Linked DNA regions of Mus musculus. Each later gene encodes a partner of the first gene's protein in a complex. Links are inferred from orthologs where the notes say so. Each region holds a gene or a part of one and is shown in the gene's direction. Other genes may lie near its edges.

Region 1 (4,198 bases):
ATCTTCCCCAGGGAAGAACAAATCAGTACAAAACGGTCATCCCTGAAATCTCACGGCTGGAAAGGTGGCTCAGTGGTTAAGAGCACTGGCTGCTCTCTTCCGGAGGCTTTGGGTTCGATTCCCAAAACACATGGTGGCTCACAACCATCTGTAATGAGATTCGATGCCCTCTTCTGGTGTGTCCGAAGACAAACAGCGACAGTGTGCTCGTGTACATAAAATAAATAAATCTTTAAGTATATATACATATATATTATAATCTCAAAATTTAGAAATAGTAAAAAAGAAGGCTTGCTAGGTTAGCCAGGTGACTATATGTTAGCCATGAGCACTCACATGTTTATTATATGTTATGTACAAAGTCAAGAAGGAAAAATGGCCATCAGAAAGATGAAGGAAAGGGGCTGGAGATGCGGTTCATGTCTAACATGCTGAAGGCCTGGGTTCCATCCCCTGACCCTCATAAACTGGGGTGTTGGCATAGGCTTTGTAATCTTAGTACCCAGGAAGTGAAGGTAAAGAGACCACAAGTTCAAAGCCATCCTCATATATATATTAGTTTGAGTTTGGGCTACATGAGACCCTGTCTTAAATAAAAGAAAAGCCAGTTGTGGGCTGGGCAGTGGTGGCGCACGCTTTTAGTCCCAGCACTTGGGAGGCAGAGGCAGGCAGATTTCTAAGTTCGAGGCCAGCCTAGTCTACAGAGTGATTACCAGGACAGCCAGGACTACACAGAGAAACCCTGTCTCGAAAAAAAGAAAGAAAAGAAAGAAAGAAAGAAGGAAGGAAGGAAGGAAGGAAGGAAGGAAGGAAGGAAGGAAGGAAGGAAGGAAGAAAAAGGAAAATCTAGTCGTGTGCTGTACTGGAGGCAGCGGCATGGAAATCTCTCTGAGTTTGAGACCATTCTGGTCAAATAAATAAATAAATAAATAAGCCCAGAGACAAAGGTAAAAAGACACAGGAAGAGATGGAGAGGCATACTCCTCTGGTCCCTCAGTCTTCTCATCTCCTCATTTCTGTGATTGCATTTAGACTGAATGCGGTAGACTCTGGCTCAGGAGTCTGAGGATGGACATCTCTGGTTGAGAGGAGACCCCTCCCTCACCTACGTAAAAATATGAATAAATAAAAAAGACCAAGAAACGAGGGTCCCATGTCATCAGAAGGTCCCATTCCATCCGTTGCCCTGTGGAGTCCTCGTCTCCATCTCTTTCCTCTTTTCTCTGTGTCCATAGTCTTTGCAATTGGACCCTCGCCTCCTCCCAACCTCGGAATGAAGAAGCGGCTGTACCTTTAAAGCAGCGGCCCCCAGCCGGGTTATTGTCTCGCTTCATAACCAATCGGCCGCGCCGTTGGGGGCAGGGGATCCAGTGTTCTGATTGGCCGCCGCTGCGCCCCGCCCCGCCCGGGATCCCGGGAGCTGTCCGGCCGCCTCGGTGCTGATCCCGCCGCCGCCCACGGGCCGCGAGCAGCGTAGAGAGGGCACTATGAGCGGGGGCGTCTACGGCGGAGGTGAGCCGGCCTGGGGCACTGGGCTCTCGGCCTGGTCTACAGCCCTGCATCCCGAACCCGCGCGTCCCAAGCCCTGAGCATCCCTGGGCCTGTCACCTCCGTACTGCATCAGGTCCAGTCTGAGGTTTGGGTCTCCCACTACTTCTGCTTTCCATTCTCTTGGGGTTCCCAAGTGTACACTGCCTCTCGGGCCCTGGACCTTTCTTTTCCCTGCCAGGCCGCTAGGCAAGAGGGAACTCTGGTGGCTTTGACCCTCTACTTCCAGAACGCCCTGAAGTCCAGGTGGATCTCCCACCCACTCCCCGCTGAAGTTTAAACTGTGGCTATAACCCCAGAATCCTCTCCAAGCTATATAGGGAGACAGTTTGGGAGAGGTCTCCTCACAAGCCTGTCTCCTTGCACAGATGAGGTGGGGGCGCTCGTCTTTGACATTGGCTCTTTCTCAGTCCGAGCTGGGTACGCTGGGGAGGACTGCCCCAAGGTGAGCCTTCCAGTCCCCTCCCCAAATCCCAGGGGCTCGGACACCCTCTGCCAGGCGGGTCGGCCTATGAACAAATGCGCACAGGTCAATTCAAGTAGCTCACCTGAGTGGAGACAGGGGAAGGACCCCGGGGGTGGCTGAGGGCCTTGAGTGCAATTGAACCAGGGACTAGCAGGGATGATCCAGCTGGGCAGGGTAGTGCGTTCCTTTAAATCCCATCACTCTGGACGCAGAGACATGCAGATCTCTGTAAGTTCAAGTCCAGCCTGGTCTACAGCGACAGTTCCAGGCCAGCCAGAGGTTCACAGTGAGAGCCTGTCTCCAAAAAAGAAGGGAATAATCTAGCTCCCTGCTCATGTTCCTTGTAACCAGGCTGACTTCCCCACCACTGTGGGGCTGCTGGCCGCAGAAGAGGGGGGCGGGCTGGAGCTGGAGGGGGAGAAAGAGAAGAAAGGGAAGATTTTCCACATCGACACCAATGCCCTGCACGTGCCTCGGGATGGAGCGGAGGTCATGTCGCCCCTCAAGAATGGCATGAGTAAGGGACCCTCACCCACTACTTTCTGAAACAGACTGGGAGCCCCACGCCCAGTGTGTGGCTGCCGATCTCCATACCCACAGAACCTTGCTTGCTGCTGCCCAAGTCCCAAGGGTCTCACTGTTCCCTACAACTGCTGGGATTTCAGACCAGTTCCCCTAGAATTCTGGAACTTAAGGGGGGTGGTGCTTGTAAGCAGAAGTTGGACTCACCTACCTTCAGACTTGGCCTCCCTCCTTCCTTTACTTCCTGTCTCTGATCCTTGCCTTCCTTCCCACCTTCCCATCTATCTCTCCACGCTGGTCCTCTGTCCCTAGTTGAGGACTGGGAGTGCTTCCGAGCCATCCTGGATCATACCTACAGCAAACATGTCAAGTCCGAGCCAAACCTGCACCCAGTACTCATGTCGGAGGCTCCGGTGAGTGCCTCATCCAGACCCACGTCCAGCCCTGAGTCCCTGGAGACACATCCTTTCTGCCATCACCTCTAATGTGGAGTCGCTACTATCTGTCACTTCCCTTCCCTTTCCAGATTCGTCCTGCTCACACTGTCATCTTCTGTCACCTCCCTTCCTCCCTGGCTTACCCTCCATCCCGCCTTCTCTCTTCCAGCTCCATCCACTCCATTGCCCTGCGTTGTTCACACACACATTTTTTGGTCCATGTTATACATATATATGAATATTACCAATGTAGCTAAGTTGTGAGAGATCTTGCCTGGCATGCAAAAGGTTCTGGGTTCAAGCCTCGCTACTGAAGGGGGGAGGGGAAGTTACAGTTGTAATCCAAGCACTCAGGAGGTAGAAGCAGAAGGATCAGCAATTTAAATCAATATTCAACTACATAGTGAGTTCCAGGACAGTTGTGACTACATAGAGGCAGCCACCAGTTAACAATAGGTCCTCTGCTAGGGGTAGGATTTAAATGGATCATTTCATGCTAGGATTTCAGTTTGGATATATATATATATATATATTGTTTGCCCGTTTTATTGTTTGTTTGCTTATTTATTTGTGTGTGCACACACACATATGGCAAGGGACAAATTGCAGGTTCTCTCCTTTCTCCTGTGTATTCTGAGATTAAACTCAGGTGGTCTTGCTTGGTGGCAAATGTCTTCACCTACTGAGTTCTCTTGCCAGCTCCATTTGTCTGTTTCTGAGACAAGCTCTCCCTGTGTAGCTCATGCTGGCCTCAGACTTGAGATCCTCCTGAGGGCTGTGCTGACTGGTGAACACCACCAGATCTCACCCTATCCATATTTCTAAACATCACATATGTGCAATGCCCATGGAGACCAGGAGAGGACATCAGAGCCCATGGAACTAGAGCTAGAGGCCACCCACTGTGGGTGCTGGGAACTGAACTCGGGTCTTGCCAAGACCAAAGAGTACTCTTAACCACTGAGCCATCTCTCCAGCCCCTTTCTGTGTTTGTTTGTTTTGCTTTGTTGTTTGATTTTTTTTTTTTTTTGAGACAGTGTTTCTTTGGGTAGCCATGGCTGTCCTGAGATTAGCTTTGTAGACCAGGCTGGCCTTGAACTTACAGACATCTGTCTGTCTCTGCCTCCTGAGTGCTTGGATCAAAGGCATGTGTTACCATTGCCTAGCTCTCTGCATTTGAAAAACTGACATATTATTTTTGGTATGTGTGTGTGTTGTTTGTGTG
Region 2 (3,962 bases), on another chromosome or scaffold:
AGAACCATCCTGAACTTCTGGCCCACCTGCCTCCTCCTGTGTGCTGGGATTTTGAGGATGCACCACCATGTAGTTGATGCAGTCTGGGGTTCAAGCCCAGGGCTTTGTGCACGCTATAACCTGAGTTACACCCCCAACCTGATTCTGAGGATTTTCAGTGCCTAGTTAAGTAGCACTATTCTATACCGTGGGTAGGAGATACCACATTGACAGAGGGTAGGTCTATAACATAGCCGAAGCCAGTGGTTTCTGAAAAGGTTCTCAACTTTTCTTTTCTTTTTTGGTTTTTCGAGACGGGGTTTCTCTGTGTAGTCCTGACTGTCCTAAAACTCACTTTGTAGACCAGGCTGGCCTTGAACTCAGAAATCCACCTGCCTCCGCCTCCCAAGTGCTGGGATTAAAGGCGTTTGCCACCACGCCCGGCTGATTCTCAACTTTTCAAAACTAAGTCCTATACAAACTGGATAAAACTTATTTCAGTACCTGGAGTTCTCTCAGCATGCAAAATCCCTTCACCTAAAAACATTTTCTGCGAATTACCAGGCTTCCTTAAAGAAAGGCACGGGCAAGTTAGTGCAGTTAAGTACTCGGAGTTGGGCCAAGCCAAGCTTTCACTCAGCTGGGTCACGTCTGGGGCCGCCCATGTCCTTGGAAGCGCGGAGCAACCAATACAGGCTTCTGGGGGTAGATGGGTGGGTGGGTGTGGGGTGCCTTATGCCACCGGCCCCGAGATGGGCTCTTAAAAAGTGGTTGGCGGCTTTCCCGCCGCGGATCGCTTATTTTTAAGGCTTGAAGACGCAGAATTGACGGAACTGTTTTGGATGGGCCATATCGGGGATCTCGCCGAGGCAGCAGCACTACGGAGCAAACAGCAAACACCTAACAGTTCGGACGGCCCTACGCGACCTTCGAACTCTGACCCCACGCCTTTCTCCTCCGCGCTTCCGCGTGCAGCTTCCGCTCCCGCTCCTCCGGGAAAAGGCCGCCTCCCCCAAGGGCGGGGCTCTAAGGCCGTCAGTTATGGGAGGTGCTGGTTTGAGGCGGGTCTCGCGAGGGCGGGATTTAAAGAGGCATTCTCGATTGGGTTGCCGGGCAGGGGCGGGGCCTGCAGGGTCTAGGTTGGGCGGGGCTGGGAGTTCGTAACCGCCTCTGGGTAACTGGACTCCGGCGATCAAACCTCCGGAGGCCGGGAGAGGCCTGCGGGCTCGCGGCACATCCCGGATCTGGAGTATCCCTGGCAGGAGCGGAGTCAGAGGGGCCGCGGGATCCTAAAGCCGGGCTGCAAAGAACTTGCGAACTTGGAGTAGAAGATCCCGGAACCCGGTAGTAAAATCGGGAAGTCCCGGATCGCGGAACGTAGCTCGCGGAGCGGACTCAACACGGAGACCGGAGGCCGGATCGCTGCACCGCGGGACGGGACAGAGTGATGTCCGGCCGTGGCGCGGGCGGGTTCCCGCTGCCTCCGCTGAGCCCCGGCGGCGGCGCCGTTGCCGCGGCCCTTGGTGCGCCGCCTCCGCCTGCGGGACCCGGAATGCTGCCCAGCCCGGCGCTCAGGGGCCCGGGGCCTTCTGGAGGCATGGGGGTACCGGGGGCCGCCGCCTTCCGCCCCATGGGCCCCGCTGGCCCCGCGGCGCAGTACCAGGTGAGGAGGGCAGGCGAGCGGCGCCGCGAGGGCGCTGTGTCGGTCTCCCTGGGGCCTCAGGTGAGGACAGGCGGCCCAGGGGACACTGCAGGAGGAACTGTCGAGGGCTGGTGGCGGGCAGGCCAGAGTCCCTTGGTTAGTGGCTCGGGGTTGGAGGCAGTGTTGGGGAAAGGGTGAAAGCCCTCTGCGGTGGAGGGCTTGAGCAGTTAGAGGAGTCCCGGGGCTTCTTGGCTCCGAGTAACTTAGAGATGGAGGCTTCGTGAGATCTAGAGAATTGTGGGCAATCAGGTTGAAAGTGTAAGACAGGTCCCGGAGTGGAGGTGAGGGAGTGACCCGGGATGTGGTGAGGAAAATTTGGAAGAGGGTCGTTAGTGAGAAAACAGGGTTACTCTTTCTTTGGCCTCGGTCCCACTGCATCTCTGCCTTGGCTTTCTTTCTTTCTTTTTTTTTTTTTTTTTCTTCCTAGTTGGGAACTGGCAGAGCGTTAGTATGTCTGAGATGGCTCCCAGCTGCTCAAGTTGAGGAGGAAGGAAGCCAGGCTTCCTACGAAATGGGAGACTAAAGAGATTGGGCCCAGATAACTCCAGGATAGATTAGAAATAGCTGTGTCCAGGTCTGAAGAAGGCCCGATCCCATTAACAGACCATTCAAGATATCCTCTGTACGGGGCTTTCCTTCTTGATGCCAGTGTCCAGTAAAGTTTGGAGGAGCAGGGAGGCTTTGTGGAGTCCTGCTGGTCTTGGGCTGCACAGGGTACTGCCCTGACCCTTCTGTCTTGGCAGAGAGCTGTCTCAGGTTGCAGCATCAAAGGCCATTGACAAGCAGAGACAGGACCCGTGGTCAGTGCATTGGGAACTCAGCCTGATTCTGCATGTGGCGCTCCTCATTCCCCAGAGCTCTGGTTCAAGTGGCTCCAGAATGTTTGGGAATTTTGTTTTGCTTTTGCATTTTGGTGCTGAGCATGGAATCCAGGCAGGGCTTTGCACGTGGCAGACGATTGCTGTATCAGGGAGCTGCACCTCCTTTCCTGGGGATTGTGCCCATCCTTCTCCCACATCCTTGTCACTTTTGTTACTTGCTTTTTGATACAGGGTCTCATATAGTCCAGGCTGGCTGTGTAGCCAAAGCCCACCTTGAACTCTTTTCTCTCAAGTGTCTGGCATTACAGTCACACACTATCACGCCCAACCTCTCTTTCCTTATCCCTCAGGTTCCTGACAAGGCCATATGTCTCTCAACCTATGTGCCAGAGAGGTGAGAGGTGTGCACTGTAGCTTGCTCTGTCCCCTGCTGGTGTCTCTAGGTAGAAGTCTCAGAAATAGATCTTCATGATGTATGCATATTCCACCCAGGAATCAGATTTCTTTTTTTTTTTTTAAAGATTCATTTATTTATTATATGTAAGCACACTGTGGCTGTCTTCAGACACACCAGAAGAGGGCATCGGATTTCGTTACAGATGGTTGTGAGCCACCATGTGGTTGCTGGGATTTGAACTCGGGACCTTTGGAAGAGCAGTCGGCGCTCTTAATCACTGAGCCATCTCTCCAGCCCAGGAATCAGATACCCAGGAGATACCTAACTGGGGGTCGGAGTGGGGATAAGTGACCCCCTTCATTTCAACTCCTATCTAAAAAGAAAATGACGAGTTTGGGTATAAACAGAGATAGACGTGGTTCCAAGGATACTAGCGGGGTTTATCTTTCCCATGTGGCTTTCTTTGGAGATTCATGGGCCTAGTATATCACTGATGAGTCTCTGCGTCAGCCCTTGGCTCTGCTTGTTTAGAGCTGGTCTGGAAGCTTCCTACAGGCACTGGGGATGTCTGTTTGGTTGGTTGGTTTTCCAAGTCTCTCTATATAGTCCTGGCTGTCCTGTAACTCACTATGTAGACCCATTTCCTTGGAAAGCAGCTGATAGAGAACATGCCATTGGGAAAGCCCCTGTTGAAGACTGGAAGATGGATTCCTGCATATTTTGTAGAGTAGCCTTGGGTCTATGCTGAGGCCAGGCTGGCCAGCCAAATGGCTGCGGCTGCTAGTTGTGAGAAAGGAGATAGCCTTGAATCTGGGCATCCCATACCAACTATGTTTCCTCTCCCCCTCCTCCTCCTCCTCCTCTTCCTCCTCCTCCTCCTCCTCTTCTTCTTCCTCTTCCTCCTCCAGGGAAAGGCAGGGGAAAGGAGGGAAGGAGAACCCAGTTAGCATTGGTTGAGTTTGAAGGAGATCCCGCTTGCTTCTTCCCATGTCCAACTTCCAGCAAGTCTTGGGATCTGAGGCCAGAGGGGCTCCTGGTTAGAGTTCTTGGGGTGAGCAGACTT
Region 3 (4,103 bases), on another chromosome or scaffold:
TCTGAAAGTTCTGGACTGCTTTGTAATTGTATTTTACTTTATTCATCGAGAGTCGTAAAAGGCGAGAGCAGGTGGAATTGTGAACTGCAATTCAGCATCTCTCGGTTTCCTTTTCACTTCCCAGCCCCCAGCTATTTGACCTGATTAAACAGCCAAGGGGGCCATAGCCCGGCTTCTATAAGCTAACGATGCCTGTGCCCTCTAAGTGATTTCATGAGTTTTCGCCCACTCCGAGTCTCCCTGTGCTCCGTGGAAGTCTGAGTTCGCAGAAGTCTCTCAGTTTCTTCTGGGGTTTATCAGATTCTGAGCAGCCGCATACTGGGGAAGCCAGGAGTCACGTCTGAACATTCACTTGCAAATTCTTTTCACCTCCTATCTTAGTCCAGAAAGGTGACGCCTGAATTCTCAGAGCCGTTCCCAGAGGGGACTCAGGCAACACCTACCTCAGGCTCTAACAATTTTTGCATAGTTACTGACTTCCCTAGCTGCGTTTCCTAAAGTTGCCTCAAAATTTCCCCAACCTTCTGCCTAAAAAGCGCCAGGTCTCACTTCGCTCCCAAGCTGGCCATGTCAGATCAGTGTGAATCGTTGACAGTGGAGAACGGTGGTCGTAGGGGACCGCGCGGAGTGACCACCCGTGAATTACGTAACAAAAGCCGTGGCTGTCCGCAAGCCTGACACTGAGACATTCCAGGAGGAAGGGAGTTGCTGTCCTGGACTCTCCAGTTCTCAGAAACCGCCCGGGGAAGGTGGCTGAGATCAAGAAAACACTTCGGGAACAAGAATATTGAACAGCCGCGGAACCCAGAACATTATTAGCAAACAGTGGAACACGAGTAGTAATTTCTTGGAGGAAACTGCAGCCTTCCAACTTTTTGCACTGCAACACGGTGGTGTACAAGGAGCTCGGGGGTTAAAAACCGTGATTTACAAAGCCCAGAGCTAATGAATGGGGTTAAGTGGTTTTGTTGGCACTATGTAAATATTCTTGTCCAGGAGCGCAAACTCTGCAGTTATTTAGCAAAGTAGGGACTCCAACTAAGCGAGAATGCTCTCCCATGTTGTCTCCACGAGTTCCAATCTAAAAGGGCGCTACTAACACGGTACTGCCCCTTTAAGACCTGCTCGCTCTCGGGCTCTACAAAAGGGAGTGACCTCTGGGCTTTGACAGCTCCCCTAATAACTACCACCACGCAGGCCCCGCCCACTTGGCGACCAGCCGCGCCGATTGGCCGGTAGGCCGGTATCCCGTGCTCTGATTGGCCTGCCGCTTCCCCTGAGCGAACCTTTAGAACTCTGAGACAGACAATATTCTGTTACATTGTAGCAAAATGGCGACTGTCATTCACAACCCCCTGAAAGCGTAAGTAAGACTAAAAAATGTACATATTCCGCGTGGTTTCAATATGAAAAAAAGGCGCCTTGTGGAGCGCAGCCGGCGCCCGGCTCTCGCAGACACCTCCCGCTGCGCCCGGGCTCCTCTTTTCTTCCTGCTCTTACTTCTTCATCTTTTTTTTTCCTCCCAGCGCGCAGAAATGTCAGGAGATGCAATTAACAAAAAGAAAATTGTTACATTTGTGTTCTGCTTAATTGGCTGACCGGGACCGGGAGGGAACACAGAGCGGCGGCGCCGGCTCAGGAGCTGCGGGGGTCGTGAGCAGCCCGGGTCTTCACGGTTCTCGGAGTCCCCTGCCTCTCCCGGCGCCGCGCGGAGCTGGCTGAGGCTGGCCAGAGCGCGGGGTTGGCTGAGCCTGGCCGGAGCGCGGGGCAGAGACCGCGTCGTGCGCTCGGCTGAGCCCTGCACTCCAAGCCCGAACCTTCCCGGCCCCGCTGCTCGTCCACCCAGGCGGGCAGACGGACCGCAGCGGCTGCGGAGTTTTGCAGGGCGTTCGCTCTGCCTTCCGAGCTCTCGCAGGGAGTTTGTGTAAACCTTCCGGAGTTGGGAGGACAGCGCGCGGAGCGGCGGGTCCCGGGAGTCCTGGGGCCCAGGTGCTTGCCCCGGGCTTTTCCACTCCGGCAGCCGGGGATCAGGCAGGCGCTCCGGGCGGTCGCCGGTGTGTCTGTGTATTTGTAGGCTAACTGGCTCTAGTAAATTAACGATCCGGGTTAACTTGGGGTTGATATGGAGGCAGGGAAACTGCAGGTCTTATAAATGGTGTGCTTGCCTGCTCTGGGTGAAAAGCCGAGGCGGTGGAGGCGGCGGTGGAGGGCTCTGGCGACAGCGAGGGGCAGGTGCCTCCCGGAGACTTTGAGCGGACACAGGGGGGCGGGCTGCGCAAGGACTCGCGGGGGCCGGTTCCCGATCGGAGCTGCCTGCCCGCCGGTCTTCCTTCCTTCCTTCCTTCCTTCCTTCCTTCCTTCCTTCCTTCCTTCTTCCAGTCGGTGGACTGAATATGAAGCCGCAAGTCCGCGGGTGATCGCGGAGCCGGGGGTGGCCTCGGAAAACTAGTGTGGCTCTCAAGGGGCGCTATTGGCAGGCATGTTGGCAGAGGGTGGATCCTTGGGAATCGCGGCGCGGCGTGGGCACCCAGTGGGTGCCCGGTGTACTAGGACTTCCCCGCCCTGATGAAAGCCAGTGGGAGTCGGAGGGTGAGCGTGGGTGTTTAGTGCCAATTCTTCCCGGTGTGTGTCAGTGGTCGATCTTGGCTCTTTTAGCTGCGCGCTACAGCGTCCCTGGCTATGGGAGTCGAAAACACCGTTCGCTTTGGGGAGCAGCAGGGCGGCGGCGAGAGAGTGTGCGTGGGATTCCTAGTGCCAAGAAACCCGTAGGGAGAACCCGCTGCGTTTGCACCAGCCAACAACCAGGAATAGGGCAGGGATGTCCCAGATCTTGGAGTTTCCATGAGATATTGCTGTAAAGACGGAGGCTGAGCTTGATGCGAGTTCCTGGCTCCCGTTCTCGTTCGGAAGCTCAGCTACTTTGCACTCGCGACAGCGTCTCACCGAAGAGAGAAATTGTTTTATGGCAGAAGAAATGGGCGTAACTTCCCCGCTCCTCGCCGACTCCCGCCGCCACACCGCTGGGGCTGGGAGTTTCTCCAGAACCCACACACAGCTGATTTGCAATTTCCTCATTTCCAGCCGAAATCACGTAGCCGAGCTGATGCTGCTTGGTAAACTCAAGTCGGAGAGATCTATTTGCTATGTGTACAGGGTTCTTCATTGGCAAAGCGGCATCCTTGATGCCCGGGAGCGGGCTTACGCTCGGGCGCGCGCAGGAGCTCCACACTCCTGGGTCCCCCAGATCTTTCCACTTTTTTTTTTTTTTTCCACAGAAGAGTGCATGTATAAGAAATTGTGGGGGAGAAGGAACAGAGAAGCTAGAAGGTGGCCAATCAGTTAATAGAACTAGTTCAGATTTACACTTGTATCCCTTAATAATTGGAAATACTTGCCGTGGGATGCATTTGTAACTCCGTCTTGGCTCACGCACGCGGACGCTCACACAACACCCCTGTCTGCCTTTCCTCAGAGGAAGTCGAATGGTCACTTATAATTAGCCGCCCCCTTTTGCATCCAGTCCTCTTCCCCTGAGGGCTAAGGGTGTAAATAATAACCCCAATCGGTCAAGCTATTTGCACCCTGGACATTTTAAAAACTCCGCACGCAGGAGCACACACATCGTTACCGGGAGACTGAGGCCATCTGCTTTATTATTATTATTATAAAAACAACTTGTTTAATAAAACATCTTATACATGCCATTTGTTTCTAGAAGTTGCTGATCAGGAAACAAAACACACGTGAATAAATTATGCATGGGCCAAATTAGAACAAAGCATAGCAACCCAGCAAGCTGAAGGGATGGATGGGGGGGGGGCAGGGAGGAGGAGGAGTGAGGAGAATGGCTTGGAGAGCTTATGTGTTTATCCTTGTGTGCCCCTCCTGACAATGAACCGGAGCTCCAAACTGCATTAGCATTTTCTCCGGGTGCAAGCAGTCTTTCTCGTCTTAAAAAGGCAACATCACGGACGCCCCCTACAGAAGAAACTGGTCACACAAAGATTTCCTCTTGGGCCTGGGGATAAGCAGCAGTAGTTACGGTGTTGGGAAGAAGCCAGCTCGGGTTTCTTTCATGCCACCCTGTGTAGGGCTATGCCTTA

Evidence for each region. Proteins that work in one complex are often made in the same cells at the same time.
Region 2: Actl6b (region 1) and Smarcd2 share a complex: the UniProt entries of both Homo sapiens proteins name them as parts of the BAF complex. The link is inferred for Mus musculus from reciprocal best matches to the Homo sapiens genes ACTL6B and SMARCD2.
Region 3: Actl6b (region 1) and Dpf3 share a complex: the UniProt entries of both Homo sapiens proteins name them as parts of the BAF complex. The link is inferred for Mus musculus from reciprocal best matches to the Homo sapiens genes ACTL6B and DPF3.

What each region holds. Positions count from the first base shown.
Region 1 is NC_000071.6:137,552,148-137,556,345, forward strand, and holds the start of Actl6b (actin-like protein 6B), read left to right. Parts: upstream 1-1,398; 5' UTR 1,399-1,487; coding exon 1,488-1,512; exon of another isoform or gene 1,513-1,636; intron 1,637-1,916; coding exon 1,917-1,993; intron 1,994-2,365; coding exon 2,366-2,531; intron 2,532-2,848; coding exon 2,849-2,949; intron 2,950-4,198. UniProt on the Homo sapiens protein: Involved in transcriptional activation and repression of select genes by chromatin remodeling (alteration of DNA-nucleosome topology).
Region 2 is NC_000077.6:106,270,173-106,274,134, reverse strand, and holds the start of Smarcd2 (SWI/SNF-related matrix-associated actin-dependent regulator of chromatin subfamily D member 2), read left to right. Parts: upstream 1-1,162; 5' UTR 1,163-1,426; coding exon 1,427-1,642; coding exon of another isoform or gene 1,643-1,702; intron 1,703-3,962. Other genes in the region: Tcam1 (testicular cell adhesion molecule 1), read right to left, coding at 484-501. UniProt on the Homo sapiens protein: Involved in transcriptional activation and repression of select genes by chromatin remodeling (alteration of DNA-nucleosome topology).
Region 3 is NC_000078.6:83,484,937-83,489,039, reverse strand, and holds the start of Dpf3 (zinc finger protein DPF3), read left to right. Parts: upstream 1-1,303; 5' UTR 1,304-1,331; coding exon 1,332-1,363; intron 1,364-4,103. UniProt on the Homo sapiens protein: Belongs to the neuron-specific chromatin remodeling complex (nBAF complex).